Nothobranchius furzeri: one gene and its partner. The protein of the gene in region 1 interacts with the protein of each later gene in a biochemical or structural test. Links are inferred from orthologs where the notes say so. Each region holds a gene or a part of one and is shown on either strand. Other genes may lie near its edges. The genes, in order: bcar1 and ptpn12.

Region 1 (11,602 bases):
AAATTTGCTGGGTTCCTTCTATAGGAAATTTTTTTTTCTGATTGGCTTAATGAACTGACCTGTATTGGAATGTTTATTATGTGAAGTGCCTTGAGACGACTCTTGTCGTGATTTGGTGCTTTATAAATAAACTTGAATTGAAAAAGAACCTTAACATGAAACTGTTTAAGATATTTACTATTTATGTACCAGGACTCATCTTCTAAAGTATTCAATGAGACTTTTTGTGCTCTTCGTTTTATTCATTTATTTCTACACATTGATCTGACTTTACAGAGGGAAATGACCTTTGATACAAGTTTTCTGTTCTTGAGGAGAGAGTAGCGAGCGATCTGTGGCTGATGAGTAAAAACAAGACAAAAAACATTCAGGACTGAAGCTGCGTCTAAATCGGCTGGCGACACGGCTGCATTTCTAAATAAAAGCATGTCATTTTGGCGGCGTGCGCAGCCGCAGCTCACGCTGGTTCCGCGTGAGATATTGGCGGTGTGGCATGAGAGCGTGTGAAGAGGGTCAATGCTGAGAGTTGGCAGCCCTGCTTAATGGTTGACTATCGAACATAGACCATCTGGTTAACTCTGGTGGTCAGAGGTGGTTTTGCAACAACAGGACTAATTTTTCAGCTGCTGGGATGGGGCAGCAGTAGCTCAACAGGTTGAGCGGGTTGTCCAGTAATCAGAAGGTTGCAGATTCGATCCTGGCCCCGGATAGAGAATTCTGCTGTTGTGTCTTTGGGCAAGACATTTGTAGTCAGAGGGACCGGTGGCGCCTGTGCTCGGCAGCCTCGCCTCTGTCAGTGCGCCCCAGGGAAGCTGTGGCTACATCATAGCTCATCACCATCAGTGTGTGAATGTGTGTGTGAATGGATGAATGATACACTGTAGTGTTAAGCGCTTTGGAGTCCTTACTCTGAGAGGCGCTATACAAGTGCGGGTCATTTATCATTTATGTTGGTTCACTGCTGACACGTTCTAGCACCATGTTCAGAGTAAATGAGCAAAACCTCCCTGAACCGTCTACAGGTGAGAAACTATACTATACTTTTATTCTGAACATCTCTGAATGCCCCATGGAGTATTTTTTATATAAAATATTCCATATTCCAACTCTAAAGCTGTTATGGTGAATCTGCAAACAAGCTAGGTGTTGAATGCAGTCACAGAACGCTCGCCCCTCCCCTCGGATATTTTCACTGAGATGCTTCTCCTGGATCCGGAAACCCACATTGCCAGAGGACCAAGAGAGCACTAAACACCAGGTCCAAACGTCTTTAGTTCTCCGTGACTTCAAATAGTATTTTTCTTTTTGGGACTCTGGTAGTTTGTCGTGAAGTTGAAATGGTAGCAGCCGGCTGTTTCTCTTCTGCTATTATTGAGTGAAGAACCTCAAACACCAGTAGTTGTCACAGTCTGAGGTGAGTGGTTACCACCTAACCTCTACAGCCCTTTTTAAAAGACACACACTGCCGGAAAATCTGCATAATATTACCGCAACAGCGTGTCTTATGAACGCGCCATGCCAGCATAGCGTTGCACTAATGTTGCGGCATTCGTTCTGCCTTGCTTGGTAGTAATATTGCTGTAATTGTCTGTCTTATAAACGGTGATTGAGGTGTCAGAGGGAGGTGTCCCGATCACATGGGGAGTTATTGCCCAGCTCCGGCTGGAAAATAAATAGAAAATGAAAGTAAATACGAGCCGTGAATTCCCCTTCTGTAAACAGAACCAGCTGAGATGTTAAACTGAAGCAATGCAGCTCTCCAGGAGCTTCTTTCCATTAGAGCTGGAACTAAGATCACCAGAGACTGCACAGGGAGTGGTGATCAGACACCTTTAGGAGCTGCTTGTTAAAAGACTTAACGAGCACGACTTCAATCGTAATAAAAAAAAATCAAGTTATGTCCAAGATAAACGGAAGTCCGCGGCAGCGCAGAGATCGCCCCATACCCCCTTTATACCACCATTGCATAATGCTAGTAAAAAGGACATGATTGCACAACTGTACCGCCACAGTTATGGCCACTGACCACTTATAAACAACATAAAGCTCCCTGATGCCGCCACGGCGTTGCAGCAAATAATGGCATTGTTTTGTAAAAACGGCTTGGGAGTGCTTGATTGCAGGTGGGAGAGCGGGCCCAGCTGCCAGTTTGCCAATCACCGGGTCTGGCTATTTGAGGAACCAGAGTCTTAATAACAATACACAGGTCACCGGATGATAACTCGCTTTTGGTGCCACCAAGCTGAGAGTCACCTGCCACCTTTTTGAAATGACCTAAGAATCGTTCGACTTCCCTAACCTCTCTTTACTCTCCAGGTATTCCAACCATCACCAACAGATCAACGATAACCTCCCTGATCCACACTCAAACCCTGCAACCAGACCTTCCAGCGTTCCACCACTCATCCTGTCTGGAAATCTAGAACCAGCCTCGAGTGCCCCTTCCTGCACAAGCTCTACCTACAACCACTGCCTTGGACTGGACCTCTTCCCCTCTCGAGCTCAAGACCATCTACAGAACTGTAAGCCTTAGCAACATATTTCCTCAGCCCAGCGAGTCACTCTTCTGGAGCCAGAGCCTCAGCATTCCTCGCCCCAAGTCGGTGGCACTCCATAAGTTGTCCTTTAGTAAATGTTATTTGATTTATCTCGTGTTGTGACTGGTTCATCACGTCTTAGGTCAACAACCTTAAGCCCAACCTGACAGTGGTGTTCTGTTGCTGAATATGTGAGTGTTAGTTATGGCTTGAACTGGGGGGGGGGGGGGGGGGGGGGGACCAGAGAGAGAGAGACATAGAGACAGACAGACAGAGAGAGAGAGACAGACAGACAGACAGACAAAGAGAGACAGACAGAGAGAGAGAGAGAGAGAGAGAGAGAGAGAGAGAGAGAGAGAGGAGAGAGAGACTTTGACTTTTAAATTATTTAAATTTCTTTACAGATCAACAATCAGTGTTAATGACTGAAACTTGTTTTCCACTAATAAAACCAGGAAAACTGAGAAACCCAGTTTAGAAGTTGATCTTTAGGGAGCCCTGTCCATCCAGCAGACAGAGCACCTGCCCGATCCCCCACACCGCTCTAAAGGAGTCCAGGTTCCCAGTAAGTTCATAAAAAGCGTGTTCGATCTTCAAGCGAGCTTCCACCAGGCCCTTCAGGCTCCGCTCAGCATCAGTCCAGCTCTGTCCCAGCATCTGGTTTTTCCTGGTTTTCCAGATGGCTAGTTTTGCACATGCAAATAAAAAGTTAATTAACAATTTTGTCCGTTTTTTCTGACACTGTACTTGGGCCCGAAAACAAATAACGGAAGGGTAAAAGCCTCCCCCAGTGCACTAACCCACCGTTCTAAAACCCTGAACATCCCTGATAACCTAGAACATGCTACCACTAGATGCTCTAGGGTCTCTGTTTGGTTACAAAAAGGACATCCCTCCCCGGTGCTTGGATCAAAGTGGGCTCTGTGTCTGTTCGTAGCTAAAGCTCCATGTATGATCCTCCACTGGAGGTCTGCCATCCCTTTTTTCCACTGGAGACTTATACAAAGTCCTCCAGCTGCCCCCAGGGGCACGGTCCGCAGCAAACACCTGAGTCCACCTCAACTCCTTGACTCCTAACAAGGAGCGCCTATTGATAACCTTCACACAAGTGTGATAGATCTGTTTCTTCCCACAAGACTGGAAGGAGCCCAACACTGGAGAGTTCAGGTTCAGCAGTAATCCACTCTCCTCCTGCCATCCCTCACCAGCTGCTTTAACCTCCAGAGATGGAAAAACGTACTCACTGTCATCATCCCATTGGTCAGATAGAGTACAAGTCTCAACGAAGGCTCTCTGCGACACAGACAAGGACCTCCGTACCTCCTCCACCACTCTCTCCATCACTCTGGTGGACCTCACATCAACCCGCTCACCAAGGGTTCCAGCCGGGATCTTCAGTAAGTGGCCAAACTTTACAATCCCAGCATCGGTGAACTTCACTTTCAACGAAGACGAAGTTAAAATGCCAGCTTGAGAGAAGAAGTCATTGTCAAACAAGGGTTCTTGTAGCAACCATGTCCCTGGTCCCGTGTCAGGTGCTCGGGAAACCGCCAGCAGCTTAAAGGTGTCCAGCACTGATGAGTAGAACGGACTAATCCTTGTCAGATCCAACACCTTCCGATTCAACAGGAACAGGTGTTTGTTCAGCCCAAGCCCACCAACCTTCTGCAGCAGGAGATGAGCCAGGGGGAGCCAGCGGAGTCCGTCACCATAACAAAGCTTCTGAGCTGTCTGTAACCTGAAGGCTGCAGTTCTAGACACCACGTCTATTAGTCCTTGTCCTCCCTCTGACACGGGTAGGCAAAGAGCCGAAGCTCTGATCCAGTGGTGACCAGACCAGAAGAATTTCACCAACAGCTTCTGAACACCTTCCAGCAGACGGGGTGGTGGAACCAGTACAATCAGTCTCTGCCACAGAAACGAGGCGACGAGGTTGTTTGCTATCAGAACCCTGCCCCTGTAGGACAGCTGAGGGAGCAGCCATTTCCATTTAGACAACCGCGCCTCCACCTTCTCCAGCACCTTCTCCCAGTTCTGTTTCTGAAACCTTTCCCTACCCAAGTACATGCCTAGTGTTTTAATACCTCCCGTTCCCCACCTCAACCCTTCTGGCAGAGGCGGGACATCACCAAGGTCCCACCCCCCACTACACATGCCTCACTCTTGTCCCAGTTAACCTTAGCTGAGGATGCTTTCTCATGTAAACGTAAACTAGATCTGAGTTCTTGTACATCCTGCTGATCATGGATGAAAACATTCACATCATCTGCATAAGCAGACACAACTAAGGGAGGACTGGAGTCAGGTAAAGGTAGGTGTACACCTTTCAGCCTGTTCCTCAGCCGACACAGCAGCTGTTCAATGGCTAAAATATACAGTTGTCCTGAGATGGGACAACCTGTCTGATTCCTCTTAGAACTGGTGGGTTGGCTCAGGCCCCCCGCTACCTTCACCATACAGCTGACATGACATGACAGCATCTTAATCCCTTCCAGGAAGGACCCCCCAACACCAAAGGCCTGTAGCGTAGAGAACAGGATCTCATGATCAACCCTATCAAACGCCTTTTCCTGATCAATAGAAATGATACCTGCGTTTACATCATACATTTTACAAACATCAAACACATCTCTCATTAAAAATAAATTGTCCATTAATGACTTTCCTGGTATACAGAAGGACTGATCGTCTGGGATTAGACCTCTGATGAATCCCCGAAGTCTATTAGATAGGAACTTAGAAAAAATCTTATAGTCTGAACACAACAAGGAAACTGGTCCCCAGGTTTTTAGTTGGGTTAAGTCCCCTTTTTTCGGCAGCAGGGACAGAACGCCCCAACTACACGATGCAGGAAGTGCTCCTGTCTGAAGTGAGTCTCTAAAAACATCCATCAGGTCCTGTCCAATACTGCTCCAGAAGAATTTGTAGAAGTCAGCGGGTAAGCTGTTCATCCCCGCAGATTTACCTGCAGCCATCTGGGAGACTGCCGTTGTAAGTTCCTCCATGGTTATGTCTGCATTTAAGATTCCCTGGTCTACTGTGGTCAAGGAAGGAAGCCCCTGCAACAGCTCTCTGGCACAGTTCACATCACATGGGGCGGCCTTAAATAGGCTGGTATAGAATTCTACTGCATGCTTCCTCATCTCCACTGGGTCTGTGGATAACTGTCCATCTGACAGACGCAGGCCAGCCATTTGTTTTTTCTGGTTTGAAGTCTTTTCCAGGTTAAAAAAGAAGGATGTCAGAGCATCCATGTCCTGTATTGTGGTGAGACGAGCCCAGATCAAGGCGCCTTTGGCCCTCTCTTGCAGGAAATGCCCAAGCTGCTGTCTTTTTTTGGTCTAAGGTGTGCTGTTGTTGAGTAGTAGTCTAGCACCCTGATGTCCTTCTCTAGATCTGCCATAGTCTTTCTTATTTGGTTTGTAGACCCCCGCGTGTAATGTTGACAGAAAACTCTAATTTGTGCCTTCCCTTGTTCCCACCATTCACTGATGGTCTTAAAATCATTCTTTTGGACCGCAAAGCCTCCCAGAACAGCTTAAAAATGTTGCAAAAGGTAAGATCGTCTAATAACTTTATATTAAAGTGCCAGTAGGATTTTGTCGTCCCCAACAAAATGAAGCATCAGTTCAGTTAGAGAGGAGAGAGAGAGAGAGAGAGAGAGAGAGAGGGAGAGAGAGATCCTTAGGCAGTGTTTGTGAAACAGATCCTTTGGAATTTGATGGAAAATAACTCAACAAGCTCGAGCAAATGCCTTATTCCACACACACGCACACCTGCACACACACACAAACACACACACACGCACGCACACCTGCACACACACACACAGTGCTATCAGCTGCTCTGCTGAGCTGACTGGCCAGGTCTGCTGGAATGAAGCCACCAGACCCTGGCTGACATTGGCCTTCATGCAAACAGCCTCCCGGAAGGGGCGGGCTGCTCCTTTAAACCCGCTGGAGCTTCATGTAGGCCAAAGACAAAGAGTAACATGTCACCACCAGCACATATCACACACCGTGTTACAGTAATATGTGTGGGCTCACATGATAACATCTTAATTACTGTAGTGCTATGGAACCGGGCGGCCCGGGCCCAGGCTGTTACAACCATTAACATGGAACACCGGAGCAACGACTGGGAACACCAACATGCGTCTGACATACTTACAGGGATAGACATTTTGCTGCAGCTGTCCTATTGCGCCTTTTCCTGCCAGTTGCGTCTCTAGCGGGTTTTATGCACAGCTGCGCTGGCGTCAGCCGTTCGTGGATTCCATGGAAAAGACTCCTGGTAGGAAAGGAAAGCTCCCAGCGGGAGGAAGAGGTCGGGATTTGTCTCAGTCCAGCTGGACTGCTGCGTAAAAATGCGCCTCAGAGGCGCAGATCTGCAGCAGCGGTAATGCGATCGTCCGTATGACCCGCAGACTTGACGGTTCTCGGTCCTCCCTCAAGTCACTCTGCCTCGGACTCACCCCCCACGGACGCGCGGCTATAACAGCTGGAGCATGAAGCAGCTGCGGCTGGAGGCCGAGCGGAGCGGGTGGAGCACAGCTGGCTGCTACCGTCCGCCCACCACAGGCTGGATCCTGTCCGCTTAAAGGGCCCGAGCCCCCCTCCCATCCACCATCTTTGTGTGGTTTGGGGCTACTGAGAGACGGGAAGCTGATTAAGAAGTTCTGTCCTAGCATGTCCCCTTGACCCAGCTGGGGGTGGGAGAGAGGACTCTAGTGAAAATAACATCACTGTTGGACAGTGTCCTCCATCCCATGCATGAAGCTGGTGTGGAGCTGGAAGCTCCTTCAGTGCCAAACTGCTGCATCCTAGGTCCATCCTCCCAGCAGATGTTGGACTTTATAAACACCAGTGCTCCCAGCAAAACCAGTAAACAGTCTCTTGCATTCCTTCATTCCTGCTGCTTTTATGATTTCCTCCTTCCAATTATCCTCTGTCTGCTTCTTTTTCAGCACATCCTGAGCTCCTTCAAAGGAGTCTCCTACCATCTTTACGCAGATGACATCCAACTGTACATCTCCTTTAAGCCCCATGAGATGTCTAAGCTGCAGCTGTTACACACCTGCTTAGACTCTATCAAAACCTGGATGGCTGGGAGCTTTCTACAGCTGAATGAAGATAAGACTGAGATCCTCATCTGTGCCCCAAACAAGCTGGTTCCCAAAGTCAGAGACTCTCTTGGTCAGCTTGCTTCTCACACCAAACTCTCTGTCAGGAATCTTGGCATGACCTTTGACCCAGTTCTCACCCTGGATTCTCATGCCAGTTCTCTTTTTCGCTCTTCTTCTTCCATCTCAGGAACATTGCTAAGCTGAGTCCCATTCTGAACTTGAGACTTCTCCACACCTTCATCTCCTCACGCTTAGACTACTGTAACTCTCTTTTCACGTGTCTGAGCAGAACCTCCCTGAACCGTCTACAGGTGGTTCAGAATGCCTGTGCTCGGCTTCTGACCAAGTCCTCCAAACACACCCCCATCTCCCTGCTTCTCCTCCAGCTTCACTGGCTGCCAGTCAACTTCAGGGTTCATTTCAAGATCCTGGTTCTGGTCTATAGGGCCTTACATGGACAAGCACCATCTTACATTGGTGATCTTCTTAGTCCCTACACCCCCAGCAGGTCCCTGAGGTCCAGTGATCAAAGCCTACTGGTTGTGCAGCACCAGGCTAAAGACCAAAGGTGACAGATCATTTGCTGCTGCGGCCCCCAGACTCTGGACCTCTCTCCCCCTGAGATCAGTGGACTCAGTGGTCTCCTTTAAAAAGCAGCTGAAAACTCACCTGTCCAGGCTGGTTTTAATGTCACCTTCTGCTGAATCTTCACTAGTTTCTCTTCATGCTGGTGTTTGTCAGTTCTTTTTCATGTTCCTGTGATGACATTTTCTTTTTTATTCACATTTTTCTGAACTGTTTCCCATTTCTCCCATTTTTATTATATAACAATATATATTTAATTTTTTTTCATTTATTTTATTTTCTTGTGAAGTGCCTTGTAGTTTTTATCTAGAAAAGCTCGATACAAACTTTCTTCTTCCATCAAAGTTGGCTCCATCTTTAATCTCTCTGCTGGATTTCATTATTTTGAACGATGGTGTCAACAACGATGCCTCTTGTTGGGAGAAAAGACAAGTCCTTCCAACATCATTTGGTCGTCTTTCAACTGTAGAAAAGGGACCAAACACATTGATGGCGGTTACATCACTTACAGTTAGTATGATACATGCTATACAGCGAGAAAAACTTACCTGTGCTCTTCTCCCTGATGATGCTGCCCACAGACCATCTGCTCAGACTGGGATGACCTCTGTCCTGATGTCCCATGAACGACATAATGGAGAATCCTCCTCCCCTTCCTTCTAGGCCATCACCAATCACATGGACTCTTCCTCATCTGCCTCTCTGGACAGATGAGCCACTGGTGAACTCTGAACTTTAACCTACACAGTTGGTCTGACCACATCATTGGAAACACGTGTAACTGTGACCTGATAAAGTACGTCATTAAAAATGTATCGTTAAAGTTCTTGCCCACAAATCCACCTCCCGAATTTATTAAAGATGGTTTTGTATACGAAGAATGTATAAAGATCCCTTAAGTGAAATATCAATGTCTTTCATTACTTTATTGAACCTGTTGATGGAACACACCAAGTCATGTTTAAAGTGATTAGGTTTCCAGTCTTGATTCGGAAACGGGTAGAATGCCTTCTCCGGGTCAGGGATGAGGTCCTGCTCCAAGTGGAAGTTTAAGTATGTTTGGGTCTTGTTCACGAGTGAGGGAAAGCTGGAGCGTGAGATGGATAGGTGGATTGGTGCTGCATCTGCAGTGATGCAGGCGTTGTACCGGTCTGTCGTGGTGAAGAGAGAAGGCAAAGCTCTCGATTTACTGGTCCATCTACATTCCTACCCTCACCTGTGGTCACAAGCTTTGTGTGGCAGTGTGAGCGTCCTGTCAGTGTCCCAACTGATCATGCGCCCTGGCTACTTGGCCAAGGGGACATCCCTCTGGCTGACTGGTAAGTGCACGTGACTCTCACCCAGGAGTCTGGGGATCGAATCCCCCCCGTGACCCTCGTTTCTCCACCTTGTCACATTTGGGCAGTGACCGAAGAACGAGATCACGGATACGAGCGGCTGAAACGAGTTTTCTCTGCAGAATGGCTGGGATCTCCCTTAGAGATAGGGTGAGAAGCTCAGTCATCCGGGAGGGTGGAGAGGAGCCAGCTGCGATGGCTCAGGCATCTGGTCAGGATGCCTCCTGGACGCCTCCCTGGTGAGGTTTTCCAGGAACGTCCAACCGGGAGGAGACCTAAAGGTAGACCCAGGGCATGCTGGAGGGACTATGTCTCTCACCTGACCAGGGAACGCCTTGGGATTCCCCGGAAGAGCTGGCCCAAGTGGCTGGGGAGAGGGAAGTCTGGGCCTCTCGACGTAGGCTGCGGCCCCCGCGACTCGACTCCAGATAAGCGGAAGAAAAATGGATGGATGGAGTCTATCAGCATGTTTGAATCATTTAATAGAAACAAATAAGAGGCCAGGTTTTTTCTGAATCTGGAACATTCTGAAGGACGCAGCACATTTGTGACTCCATCATTATTCAATGAAGTAATTTAAGCATGTATTAAATTAAAAACACCAAAAGTAGCAAAAAGAGGCACCAGGGAACCAAAATCCACAGCCCGACCCTTTCTCACGCTTCCTGTGTCCACAGATGTGAGACGGTTTCAACTGCTGCTCTGCTGGGGATAGGGTTAGGGTTAGGATTTGGTGAGAAAATATCACAAAACACTTTCTAAATAAAACGTTCTAAACTCTATCCACACAAGGGAACCGTGTGACTGGCACAAGGGAACCTAGAACCCCGTAAACACTTAGGAAACTCCCTCGTTTAGAAGTTCTCACCAGCAGCTGCTGGGACTTCAGCGTAAGCTTCCCTGCATGATGACAGAATAAAAACAACCCAAACATGGACGAGTTTAACTGCACACGTACAACATGGTAACGGGGTGGAACAGTGGGACGAAGGCTGTGACCCTAACCCAGACACAGCAGCTGAATGGAACAGGTCACAAGGAGAGGGTGCTGAGTTATTCCAGTCGCTGGGTGCCAACTCATCTCACCGAACCGCTGAGCTCCGGATCAAAGCCCCAGGTCCAGCTGGAGTTCTGACGAACACCAACCGTACCGCTGCAGCCTCCAGCTGTACGTGAGTTTGTGAGTCCTTCTTTGATCAGCGTCATCGCTTCATGTTGCTCAGCCTCACTGCCTTTTCCCGCTCAAACTGACGATGGTCAACACGCTCCAGGAAGTTCTTCCGCTCCACGTACCTGACCCCCCAAACACACACACACACAGACCGTTAGTCACAAACAGTAACCAGTAACTAACCTGATAAGATTACACAAGCTGATCTGGGCATGTGGTTCAACAGAAGACCCTGGGGTCGACCCAGGACACACAGGGGAGGGTGGGGGAGCTGTACTGTTTTTGATGCTAACCAGGAGCAGACAGAACAGTATCTCACCCCTCTTTGCCTCTGTTGTGGATCGCCAGCTCATCTGTGATGCCCTCTTCATATTTAAAAGCATCCCAGTCCATCTTTGATTTTTCCAAAGTGCTCATTTTCTGCTTCTTTCCTCCAATACGACCCAGGATGCTCGACATGCCAGCAGAACGTTTAGCGCTGCAGCTGCAAGTGGAGATCAGAAGAACAGAATTGGACCTGACTGGTACTGCCCAGGTTTGTTTAAATCTACTCAACAGTAAAAGTCCCAATAAAGCCACCGAGCTCATCTGTTCACTCTAATTTCACTAACATCCATTTTGGGATTCATCACCACCGAGTCAGACATCTTTTACTTTTCTACACACCCGGGTTTTACCTGGGACCAGGAAGAGACGGGGGACAGAGGGACGAGTTCTCGCCATTCTTGGTCTCGTCCTGTTGACTGTTCTGGCTCTTCAGAAAACTCCTGGCTTCCTTGGAGTCTGCTGATACCTCTTTATGCACCCTCAAGAAGAGACACCAACACTGTTAAAATCCACATGTGTG
Region 2 (11,546 bases), on another chromosome or scaffold:
TTTTAACAGTGGATGTGGTTTCATGGAAGTGGACTGTGCAGATTGGGCTGCATGGTGGCGCAGTGGTTAGCACTGTTGCCTCGCAGCATGAAGGGTGCAGGTTCAAAACTCAGCTGCGGCCTTTCTACGTGGAGTTGCGTGTTCTCCCCATGCATGCGTGGGTTTCCTCCGGGTACTCTGGTTTCCCCCACAGATCACAACATGCCCTATAGGTTATAAATTGTAAGTAGCTTTGGATAAAAGCGTCTGCTAAATAAATAAACATAAACAGATGGGATATTTTTACATTGTTCTTGAGGTCATGGCCCTAGACTTCCAACAGAAAACCACACAGATCCCAGGGTGTGGATGGCTCTGAAAGGCTACTTTTAACTGGATTTTCACAGCAAAGCTTTGCAGTGAGTTAGTTTATTTCAGCAGCTGTACAGTAATTGTGCATGCTCCTTTTCACCCATAATTGGATGAGTGTTGCATGATTTATAGAAGATGATAATGGGTAAATCATATAAAAATACTTATATAACAGAAGCAGAGATTATCTCGTCGTCGTCGTCTTCCTCCGCTTATTCGGGTCTGGGTCGCGGGGGCAGCATCCCAACTAGGGAGCTCCAGACCGTCCTCTCCCCGGCCACCTCCACCAGCTCCTCCGGCAGGACCCCAAGGCGTTCCCGGACCAGATTGGAGATGTAATCTCTCCAACGTGTCCTGGGTCGACCCGGGGGCTTCCTGCCGGCAGGACATGCCCGAAACACCTCCCCGGGGAGGCGTCCAGGAGGCATCCTGACCAGATGCCCAAACCACCTCAACTGGCTCCTTTCGATCCAGAGGAGCAGCGGTTCTACTCCGAGTCCCTCCCGAATGTCCGAGCTCCTCACCCTATCTCTAAGGCTGAGCCCGGCCACCCTACGGAGGAAACTCATTTTGGCCGCTTGTATCCGCGATCTTGTTCTTTCGGTCATTACCCAAAGCTCATGACCATAGGTGAGGATTGGAACGTAGATCGACCGGTAAATCGAGAGCCTGGCTTTCTGGCTCAGCTCCCTCTTCACCACAACAGATCGGCTCAGCGTCCGCATCACTGCAGACGCCGAACCAATCCGCCTGTCGATCTCCCGATCCCTCCTACCCTCACTCGTGAACAAGACCCAGAGATACTTAAACTCCTCCACTTGAGGTAGGACCTCTCTCCCAAGAAGAAGAAGTAGAGATTAATGGAAGTAAAATAAGTTGTACAAATGCATGAAATGAATACAGAGCCAACGGTGTCTATGCATATATTTTTTAACCAGACTAGTTGCGTTATGATTTATTTTAATGGACCCAATAAAGGAGGAGCCATGATAGCATTGTGCAACCTGCCACTGATTCATGCAGCCTGAGGGCAGACTTTTCACCTCATGTCACTACAACAGGCAGGCTCACGTCCTCTGTGTGTGCTTGCAGACCTGATATTCCCCAGCTCTCATGCATACGTTTTCTTGCTCTCCCTCCACACACCTCAAAATAAAACAGAACACAAGGGTGAGGGAAAGATGCAGATTGTGTGCATGTGTGAGAGCGTGTGCAAGGATCCTCCCTACCTCAGGGTTGTGTATGGGCTTGTTACAACAACATTCTTTCACTCAGCTGCTTCTGAACAGTGCATTCCAGACAGAAAAGGAAGAGAAAAGAAAAGAAGAGAGTCATCAAAAAGAGAAAGAATGGCGGGAGACAAACTGATAAAAGAAAGGAACAGAGAGGGAGAGACATACGTACAAAGTTTCCTCCTGCGCTCTGTGCTAAAGTGGGAAGACAGGAACACAGGAAATTGGTGAAGGAGGAAGATGGGAAAAATAATATTACATGTAACCGATCCCTGGTGTGATATTTGAACCCCTGGCCCCCCTTTTCCCACATGGAGGTCAAAGGTCAGGTTCAGATAAAGTACAGAGTAACGAGAGCCAGCCTGGGAAAGTAGAAAAGGAAGGTCATGACATCCTACCATGCAGCTATTAGGCAAGTTATACATAGACACGCATGATCATCTTTGGTGTGTATTTCTACACCAGTGGAACTAACGTGCTCTCATAAAGCGAATCAATCATTTCTGCACAAACTATAATTTGCTTTAAACCTTTGAATCAAAAATGTGTTCAATGTTTTTCAAAAAGTTATCTTACAGAACCTGTAAAATAACCAAACATATATTTATATGCATTTGTTACATTTGATGTTTTTCTTTGAAAATACTGTAAAATAGCAATTCATTAAAGGTCTAGAACTCCAGAAAAACATTTTTTTTTATTATTTCTGATTATAATTGGTCACTCTGAGTTTTTCATGCAGGCTGAACATGAAAATAGTCTCCTACACCTAGCTCCAGCATTAGCTTCTGACAGAAAATAGAAGGTGAAACTCTAGGATTAGAAAAGCCTGACAGATCTACATCACACTCTTAATTAACATGCATGGATTCATCCATCTTGACTCACGACGGGGAAGGTTGTTGTTGGTTTAGCGTCCAGGAAACAGCAGAGAACTTCTCGACTATTAGAAGCTAACCGTTAGCATTAGCAACTCCACCACACAGCATAACTCCTCCAGGCTTAAGTTGTTTGTGGAGCTAAAATATCCACATTGCAAGTCAGTGGTAGAGTTGCATTGCTGTTATCCAATGCAAGGTGAGATGACCAAATAGGAGGACATAAGACTCCAAAAGCTGCTGTCTGAGGCTCAGCTGTGATGTGACTCACTTCTAGTTCCTAGAAATGGTGCACCAGTCATTTTTGCCCTCCGAGAACGACTTACAGTGCATTCATTCCTGCTAGAAACCACTACAATTGTATTGATTAAATGAGTGTACAACACATTTACACAAAGAAAAACAAATAAGGACCAAATAACGCAAGATAAAAACCAAGTGTTCATCATCAAAACAACATCAGTGGTTGCTTTCTTTGGCATGAATCGTTTCTCACAAACAACACACATACATATATATATATATATATATATATATATATATATATATATATATATATATATATATATACAGCCTATACATTTGGAATTCTATATTTGATGATGTATTGCAGCAGTTGGACTGGAGACTCTGAAACAAGGTTTGCTTAATGAGGATGGAGTGGAAACAGAAGGGACAAGGAAGGGGAAAAAAGCAAAGAAAACACTCAGTATGTGCCGATATAACAAGCAAATAAGTTTAAAGACTAGAGCAACAAAAAGCAGCTTGTGTGAGTAAAAGCTTGCTGGCACAGCGACAGCGTCCCCTCTTCTTCTTGCTCCTGCTCCCAGTGAATAGATGGTTTTGTTTTCTGTCACTGGTAGAACGAAAGGAAAACAAAGTAGCTCAATTCCCTTTTTCTTCTGTGTTAGTTTATTGGAGAATGGTTCATCAGGAATGAAGGTCTATTGAGTTTCTGTCTCCCAAAAGTCTTACGGAGAACACCAGTCTTCTTCATCTGTTCTTCTCATTTTTTGAGCTATAATAAAAGTTGAACTACCATTTTCTAGATTAGACATTCTATGGACAACATGAATTAAATTTGATTTTTCTGTTGCAATTTAAATGCATTATTAGCAGTATTAAAATATCTTAAAAGACTCATCTCACCCAGCTCATCATCTATTTAACCTCCTGGATGAAAAACTGTAACACCAGAGCTGTAAACTGTGCTACCTCCAATACCGGGCATATTATTACTTCATACTGTGATCCATCTATTAAAGTGTAATTTGTTGCTTCCCTGTGCAATGCTCTTACCAGACAAAAGTCACGGCCATCTTCTTCCACTGAGGCTCAGCTGTGATGTGACTCACTTCCTAAAAAAGCGAAGAAAACACTCCCATTTATTATCAAAAACAATAAATGGGAGTCTGTGGTGATAAAAGTTATTTTCTGATCCTGTTCGATATGTGTCATGGATTTCACTTATAGTTTGTGGGAATTTTAATGACACATTTTGATGCCAGGAAAGTACTTATTCACAACAGGCAACAAAAGATCCTTTAGGTTTTGTGTGGGAAGATGTACTGCCCGTCCCAACAATTTTACATCATCAAACCAAAGAGAAGAAAAATGGCTTTGAGTTTAGCGAGCTTCACATCCATCTTCCAGGACTAAAGAAGGAGAATTAAACATAAGAAAATCACTATAAATCTGACCATGTGGAAAGTGTCAGAGTCTGCTGTGATATCATAAATGAGACTTCTGATTTGTTGTCTTTTTATTAGAGAATTTTTTTTACAAACAAATACATTTCAAATTGTATGACAGACTGAGTTGAAACGTATAATTATCATTTTAACTGAATTACAGCATATGTGTAATAACATTGTAGCCTCATTCGCTGGAAGGGGACAGTTCATGTCAAATTCTGCATGCTGAATAAATAAATTGATTTGAACCTTTTGCTGATTATATTGTTTTGTTAAAAGGAGATACGTCTGTTCATTTTTCTGAAGTGACAATAATACACATTACATGGATATCTTATTTATTTATTTATTTATTTATTTATTTATTTATTTATTTATTTATTTATTTATTTATTTATTTATTTATTTATTTATTTATTTATTTATTGATTGATTGATTGATTGTTCCCACTATGAATGTTGGATGCCTGTGGCTGATAAACTGAGAAAAACAGGCATAAGTTTTATCCAATCACGCGAGGCCGTTTGGTAGAGCTGCAGCCGTCTCAGCCAATAACATTCTGTCACACGTTCTCTTGCTACCAATCAGAAACAGGTATATCCTGGAAAAGGCGGGACTACATCTCGTCGGTTTTGCCCAGTCCGGATGTTCTCCAGTAGCGAATAACGAGCACTAGTGTGAATGTGGCAATCGAGGTAGACAGGGAGGGGTACAGAGACTGACCGGACCGGGTTTTTTGGTATTTTTTCTTTATTTTGTATTTTCTCGCCGAGCCTCGTACTGACAGTTTATTCCACGCCGCGGTTGTAAACTTGTTCGAGGGGCTGGCTAGCCGGCCGTTGCAGCTTTTCTTTGGGACTAACTGCTGTCGTGAAAACAGTCCAGAAGAAAGAAGGAAAGGCAGAAACAACATGGGGCGATAATAAATAAATGTGCTGTGTTGTGGACCGACGATGACTCTCTGGGAGGACCCGTGAAAGCCTATTTATTTTTATTTATTTCCCCTTCTCCCTCTCCTTTGTCCTCTGCTGTTTTATTTTTAATGTTCTCCTCCCCTTGTTAGTCTGGGAGATATATTTAAACGGAAAAAGGCAGCGTTTTAAGAGGACTGAAAGATGGACCAAGCCGGCATCCTGAGACAGTTTATCCAGGGGGTGAAGACCATGAGTGAAAGAGACGAGAAGAGGGGGGAGGACAACTTTGGCAGCGACTTTATGGTGAGCCTAATTCAGCAGGAGTCTAAAGCTAGACTTCTTAATTTTTCCTGTGTCAAAATATCCACGTTTTCCTCATGTTGACCCTTTATATCCGAGCCCCCTTTCCCGTCTTATGGTTCCCTGTATCCCCCAGGAGGTGAGGCGGGGGCGGCCACACTATGCCCACTTCCTTTTCCTCCCATTTCCAGCCTTTATATGGCGGCCTTGCATTGTCTCCCGAACCGCACAGAAACGCCACCAACTCCTGTCTTCAAATCAAAGAGGCAAACAGCAAAACAAGTCACGTCACCTTAAAGCCATTAGATGTTTTTGTCTGGCATAGCGAAGAGCAGCTTTAGCTAAGGCTAAACTGGGATGTTCTGGTGTTTCCTATTGTGTTATTCTAACAGATCTTAGGTGCACACTAGTTCCTCTACCTCCAAGTTCCTTTGTTGTATAAATTTAAATCTACATCAAAAATACAACTGTACTGGGAACACGTGTTCTGCAGTGATTGATAGACTCACCAGTATTTGCATCTTCACTTTGTAACATAACACATCCTGTAATGTGAAACTACACCATCTAAAATGATAGCTAAGTTTAATTTAAACAGTTATGTGTGATAATCACGCAACTCAGTGCAAATAGTAATACCCAACCACAAAAACTACCACTCCCCTCCTCTACTTCCCTCTCATAATCATCAGCTGCAACTTGTGTCCTGGGCATGCCTGAAATTAAATATCTGAGCCAGTGTTGAGCCCTTTTTTGTAATTGTTTGTTGATGAAGTCATTTCAAAACCACATTTAGTTTGTTTTGTGATGACCACAGACTGCTCTGTAATGGGTCTGCCTCTCACTACATGTCTGGATGTTGCAGTTCTGATCTCCTAATTGGACCTCTCCCACTCCTGGGCTTGTGGCTGAAATAGTCACAACATGAATGACACGTCCATAATAGCTTTTGTGCTCAAGTGGCCACTTTAGTTGGGTGGCTTTGATTACAATGTTTCAAAATGTTATGTTAAGGACAAACATTTAATTCCACGTTTGTGATTTTTAGCAATCTGAAATATTGTAAAAACTGTTTTTCAAATAGTTGAAATACAAACTAACCAATATGTTTTGTTTCCGGGAATTAAATGTTTTAGATTGAGTTGGTTTGGAGTCCCATCCCTGTCAGAGTTCTTTTGCCTACACTTGCAAACAAACACTGCTTACTTCCCTGCTTCATCCAAGCTGCTTGCTGGAGCTTGCAACATTCTTTCTTGGCCTATTTCATAACATTTTGTGCTGGCTCAATAGTGGAACTTTTTCAACTCTAATTCATACTCTCAAAAACATTAACTAGAACTTCATGTCGGGCTAGTTGTGTCCTCACTCCTCAGACGCTAAACTTATCAATTCTATGTAGGAATGCACAATATATCGGCATCAATATCGATATCAGCACTTGTAAGTCATTTTTTAACATATCGGTATCAGCCCGATAAATAAAACCAGGCTGATATTAACAACCAATATTTTTTCCATCTTTCCATTTGTTTATCTTTTTCAGAGGGTGAGGGAGGTCATGTGTATTTGTTTAGTCATGTGACAGTTATTTTAATCATCGCAGAAGTGTAAATGTGTGTGGTGTGTGTACATAATAACGTAAATTCAGCTTTAATAATTTTCATTCTGTACAAAATCTGGTGATTTTAGAAGCATTAATGTCAGTATATTGGTATTGGCAAATATCAGTTATCAGCCATAACAGTGATTCATATCGGATATCAGTATCCGCCCAAATATTTCAAATCAGTGCATCACTAATTCTATGAATAGTTTTAATTTCAGAAAATCAAATTGGATTATCACATAAGGCATTCAGAGATTGGATAAAAGCAGAAGAGCTGCTTTTAAGTTTTATTGTGGTTTATTTATCATGTAAAGCTGTTGTTGCAATTATTTTACATTAACATTCTGAGAGTTGGTAACCTGATTGCATAATCACAACTTGAACACTGTTAGAAAGCACAACTCTGCTGGGGGTACTAGACTATGTAATATATGTATTTTACCAAAGTTGTCCATCCATCTTCCTTATATAACTGTATATTTCTAATTGTATCTGTTTTCTGAACCAAACGTATCCAGAGTTCATGTTTTAATGATTTAATCAATCAATCAAAGCTTTATTTATAAAGTGCCTTCCGCAACCCTGTCAGGAAGCCCAAGGCCCTGAACTTGGTACAGTAGAAGGTAAATATATTGAATAAATCAAAAATAAAAGCAATTCAAATTACACAAAAGGCGAAACATTCTAGTACAGGACAAATGTGTAAAACAATGGATAGAGTGAACCAATGAAAACTGTAAAATAAATTCAACATAAAAGAGGGCCAAAATCAAACATGTTCAGGAAACGCCAAGCGGAGGAGGTGTGTTTTTAGGCGACTCTTGAAGACTGGCAGAGATGGGGACAGCCTAACTGATGGTGGCAGCTCATTCCAGAGTGACGGTGCTAGGACTGAGAACGCCCGGTCCCCGCGAGTACGACACCTAGAACGAGGAACAGCGAGCAGGCCTTGGTCAGAGGAGCGCAGAGCGCGTGATGGGGAATGTCTGTTCAGGAGTGTGGCCAGATAGGGGGGAGCACCACCCTGGAAGAAATTAAAAACAAAGACGAGGAGTCTGAAGTGTGAACGATAGCAAACCGGAAGCCAGTGCAGGGAGGCCAGAACCGGACTGATGTGGTCCCGTTTCCTGGTCCCAGTCAGGAACCTGGCTGCGCTGTTCTGCACAACCAGTAGGCGATGCAGTGATGACTGACACAACCCTGCATAGAGAGAGTTGCAGTAGTCAAGCCTAGAAATTACAAAGGCATGCAGTACCCGCTCCAGGTGGGCTCTCGACAGCATATGCTTGATTTTTGCAAGGCGTCTCAGGTGAAAGAAACTGGACCGGGTCACAGAAATGATGTGAGCATCAAATTTAAGTCCAGCATCAAGTTTCACCCCCCAAACTGTTGGGGGTGAAAAGACATGAAGACATCAAATAATCAAAATTAAATTACAGTTTCATCAGTCACTCACATGAAGACAAAATTAACAGACAGCTTAGCTATAAAAGCAGACGAGCTAGCCTGGCAGGTCATCCTATTTACATAAATATATTGGTTGGCTGTCCATTGATGGCTCTCTGTTGTGGGGTGGGATCTACGGATGCCTTTCAAACTGCCTCCACATGCTAGTTCAGTGGTACTCACTCCTGGTCCTGGAGAGCCGGTATCCAGGATGTTTCAGTTTGAACTCCGCTTTAACACACGTGATTTCAATCAGCAGGTGATGAACAGGCTTCTGAAGAGCTTGATGAGCTGCTGTACAGGTGAATCAACCACTGAATTAGTTGTGATGGAGTAGAGAAACAAGAAAACATGCTGGACACCGGTTCTAGGCTAGAGAGGAGCTGCAATGGAAGCTCGGATGTGTAGATGCTTGAAAATTAGAACGCAATATCACTCAGAACCATTCTACAGAATGATTGAAGATCATAATTGACAATAGTAGAAGTGTATTTTTGTTGTGTGATGTATACTCCCATTGTGTTTTACCCCCATTCTGTCATCTTTACTTGAGCTGACTTTCTAAAACACCACAAGATGCTTGTGAGGTTAGCCATGCTAACTTTGACTGAAGTACTGAACACAAAGGCATAAAAATCATTAAACAGGATACAATTATGGAAAAACACAAGAATACATGCACAATTCTCTAGAACCAGATCATTTAGAAAGAACGACGAAACCATTGTAAAAATCATTGCCCATTACTTTATTTTTACAACCATTTGGAGCTGAAATTGAGCACAAATGTAATTAATTGCACAGCACAGATAATCTGAGACAAAACTCTTTTTACTCCATAAACATATGATGCATTATTGCGCTTTATGCTGTTGTTGTACATGTATGCTGCCAATTAGATCAATGTAGCTTCTGCTTTTAGCACTTCAAATGTATCCACAGCCTTTACAGCAAAGATGTTCTTATGTTTCACAAGTGAAAGAGTCCCAGTCCAAACCAAAGTTTTGTATTTTTTGTAAGGAAGATCTTTTAAATAAGAAATTATTTCTCTTTTTAGACACCTTCCACTGCTTTTATTGGTTTCTGTCAACAAATTCCATCAGAATCCCGCATTAGAATTTTCTGTTAGCCTTTAGGCTATCCTGCTTTTTTTCAGAGAGTATCTTCACTCACAGACAGTTTTTCATAAAAGCTTTTTTGGAGTATGGTGGTGCTTTAATATAAACTTTATTTGTCACATGGTTACCCAGAGTTTTTTTTTAATGTTGGCTTGTTTTAGTAAACAAAGCTTGAAGTAAAATTTGTTCCCTCGGCAGTGAAAAGTGATTACGATGACAGGTCAGCCTGGAATCAAGAAAGCGCCGGTGTTTTCCTTGTGCCAGCATACATTTACAGTTGAGATTTACCAGCAGAGTTCTTCAGCTAATCGCTGCCAGCCTGTTTTACTGATGCCAAGCCTTATGTGACAGACTCGTTTGCTGAAGTCAAACTCGCGCTGCCACAAGCGCATGGGGTGTGCCCTTCTGTGTAGTGAGTCACCAGAACTCCCTGACACAACTCCCACTTTAGCTGTCTATTGTTGTTTATATATAGAATGTGTTTTATAGGCATAATTACAGGCTCTGGTGGGGGTAAGGAGTCAGCGATTATATGCTTTGTTCAGTGGGCTTTTTTTAAAAGTCATTTGATGGACAGATAATTTTTCCATCTGCCATCAAAACCAGAGTTTTATTTATGATGAATCACATTAGAAACATCAACGTAATCCATTCTAATTGTTGGGATTACCTTTGTTTACATTGAGTTGTTCATCTTTGTTATATTTAAATGGAGGTAAATTACACGAGAGATGTTTGTGGCTGTGGTTCTCGGTCAACCCAGTCAGTAAATCAAAAGAGACTATAAAAAAATGATTGTTCAGGCATATTTTTAAATCCTAATATCCTGGTGCTTTACATTTTCAGAGCTACATTAGACTGGATGTTGTGGAGCAGTTATTTATACGTCTTCATATGGACCAGAGTTGCACAATGTTACGTTTGAGCATTGCAGTTGTATGTGTGAGCTATAGTCGCACCGCAGATGTTTGACTCAACTTATTCTCATCTTATGTTAAAGAGGCAATGTGTAGTTTTTACCAATAATTCCTGGAAATATCCATCAAAACGTTGTTGAAAATGAATAAAATTATGTCCAGTTGTTGAATATTTTTGTCAACTTTGCACCTTATAACCATAAAAATCGGGTCTAAAGTACATAGGATGCTGGTCTAGCGTCTTTGGGGGACACCACAGGGTTTCCCCCAGAAAATGAGTTAAGCCTGGCGGATTCGGCCGTCAGGGGGTTGCTGCACACGTTCCGCTGCTGTTTCTCACCAGTATCAGCTGATAGAGGGCTCTAGTTTTATTGCGCCGTTTGTGTCAGCGGACACGGTATGGTCGGGGAGGGGGGCGGGGCATGACGCTAAGCCTGGCGGGTGGCCATGCAAAGCCTGGTGGGCCGCCAGGCTTATAGGCTTATAGGCTGGGGGAAACCCTGCACCATATTAGACGCCATGTTTCCTTCAGGCTGGCTTGGGTTCTTACGTTTGTCGATGATAATAATAATAATATTAATATAATAAATTTATTTATATTGAGCTTTAAAAATCTTAAAATGCTTACGGGGGGAAAATGATGTCACAGTAGATCATTGGCAGGACGTACGACTTGCTGAAGTTACGTTACGTGTGCAAAAACATTTAGGCAGTAAGGAAAACAAATTCAATATCAAAACTACTAAACATTTTCCAAAACATACGTGAAAGAGCAGAATCAAAAAAGAGATGCAATATATTTTGGCCAAGCGGAATTGGCATAGTATGATGATGTCATCAGTATGCACAGGACCCCGAGCAGATCTGGATAGTACAGCACCAGAAAACTACAATTGCCATTGCATTCTCTCAATGGAATTAACTAAAGGATCATCAAAGACTGAGAAGTCATGCCGAGGTTGCATGCTTTCTGCTCCACAGGTAACATTTACCGTAATGTTTTTTTTAAACTAACGTCAGTTATGGCGATATGGTGTAAAACTACCCTGAAATGTATATACAGCCCCCTAGCTCCAGAATACTATACGC

Evidence for each region.
Region 2: the proteins of bcar1 (region 1) and ptpn12 form a complex in vitro, tested with the Homo sapiens proteins (3 studies listed by BioGRID and IntAct, with this or other methods). The link is inferred for Nothobranchius furzeri from reciprocal best matches to the Homo sapiens genes BCAR1 and PTPN12.

Annotation. Positions count from the first base shown.
Region 1 is NC_091754.1:40,231,311-40,242,912, reverse strand, and holds the start of bcar1 (breast cancer anti-estrogen resistance protein 1), read right to left. Parts: upstream 7,322-11,602; 5' UTR 6,720-7,321; coding exon 6,708-6,719; intron 1-6,707. Other genes in the region: cfdp1 (craniofacial development protein 1), read right to left, coding at 10,787-10,877, 11,075-11,239, 11,433-11,561. UniProt on the Homo sapiens protein: Docking protein which plays a central coordinating role for tyrosine kinase-based signaling related to cell adhesion. Implicated in induction of cell migration and cell branching. Involved in the BCAR3-mediated inhibition of TGFB signaling.
Region 2 is NC_091741.1:48,571,708-48,583,253, reverse strand, and holds the start of ptpn12 (tyrosine-protein phosphatase non-receptor type 12), read left to right. Parts: upstream 1-5,051; 5' UTR 5,052-5,271; coding exon 5,272-5,373; intron 5,374-11,546. UniProt on the Homo sapiens protein: Dephosphorylates a range of proteins, and thereby regulates cellular signaling cascades. Dephosphorylates cellular tyrosine kinases, such as ERBB2 and PTK2B/PYK2, and thereby regulates signaling via ERBB2 and PTK2B/PYK2.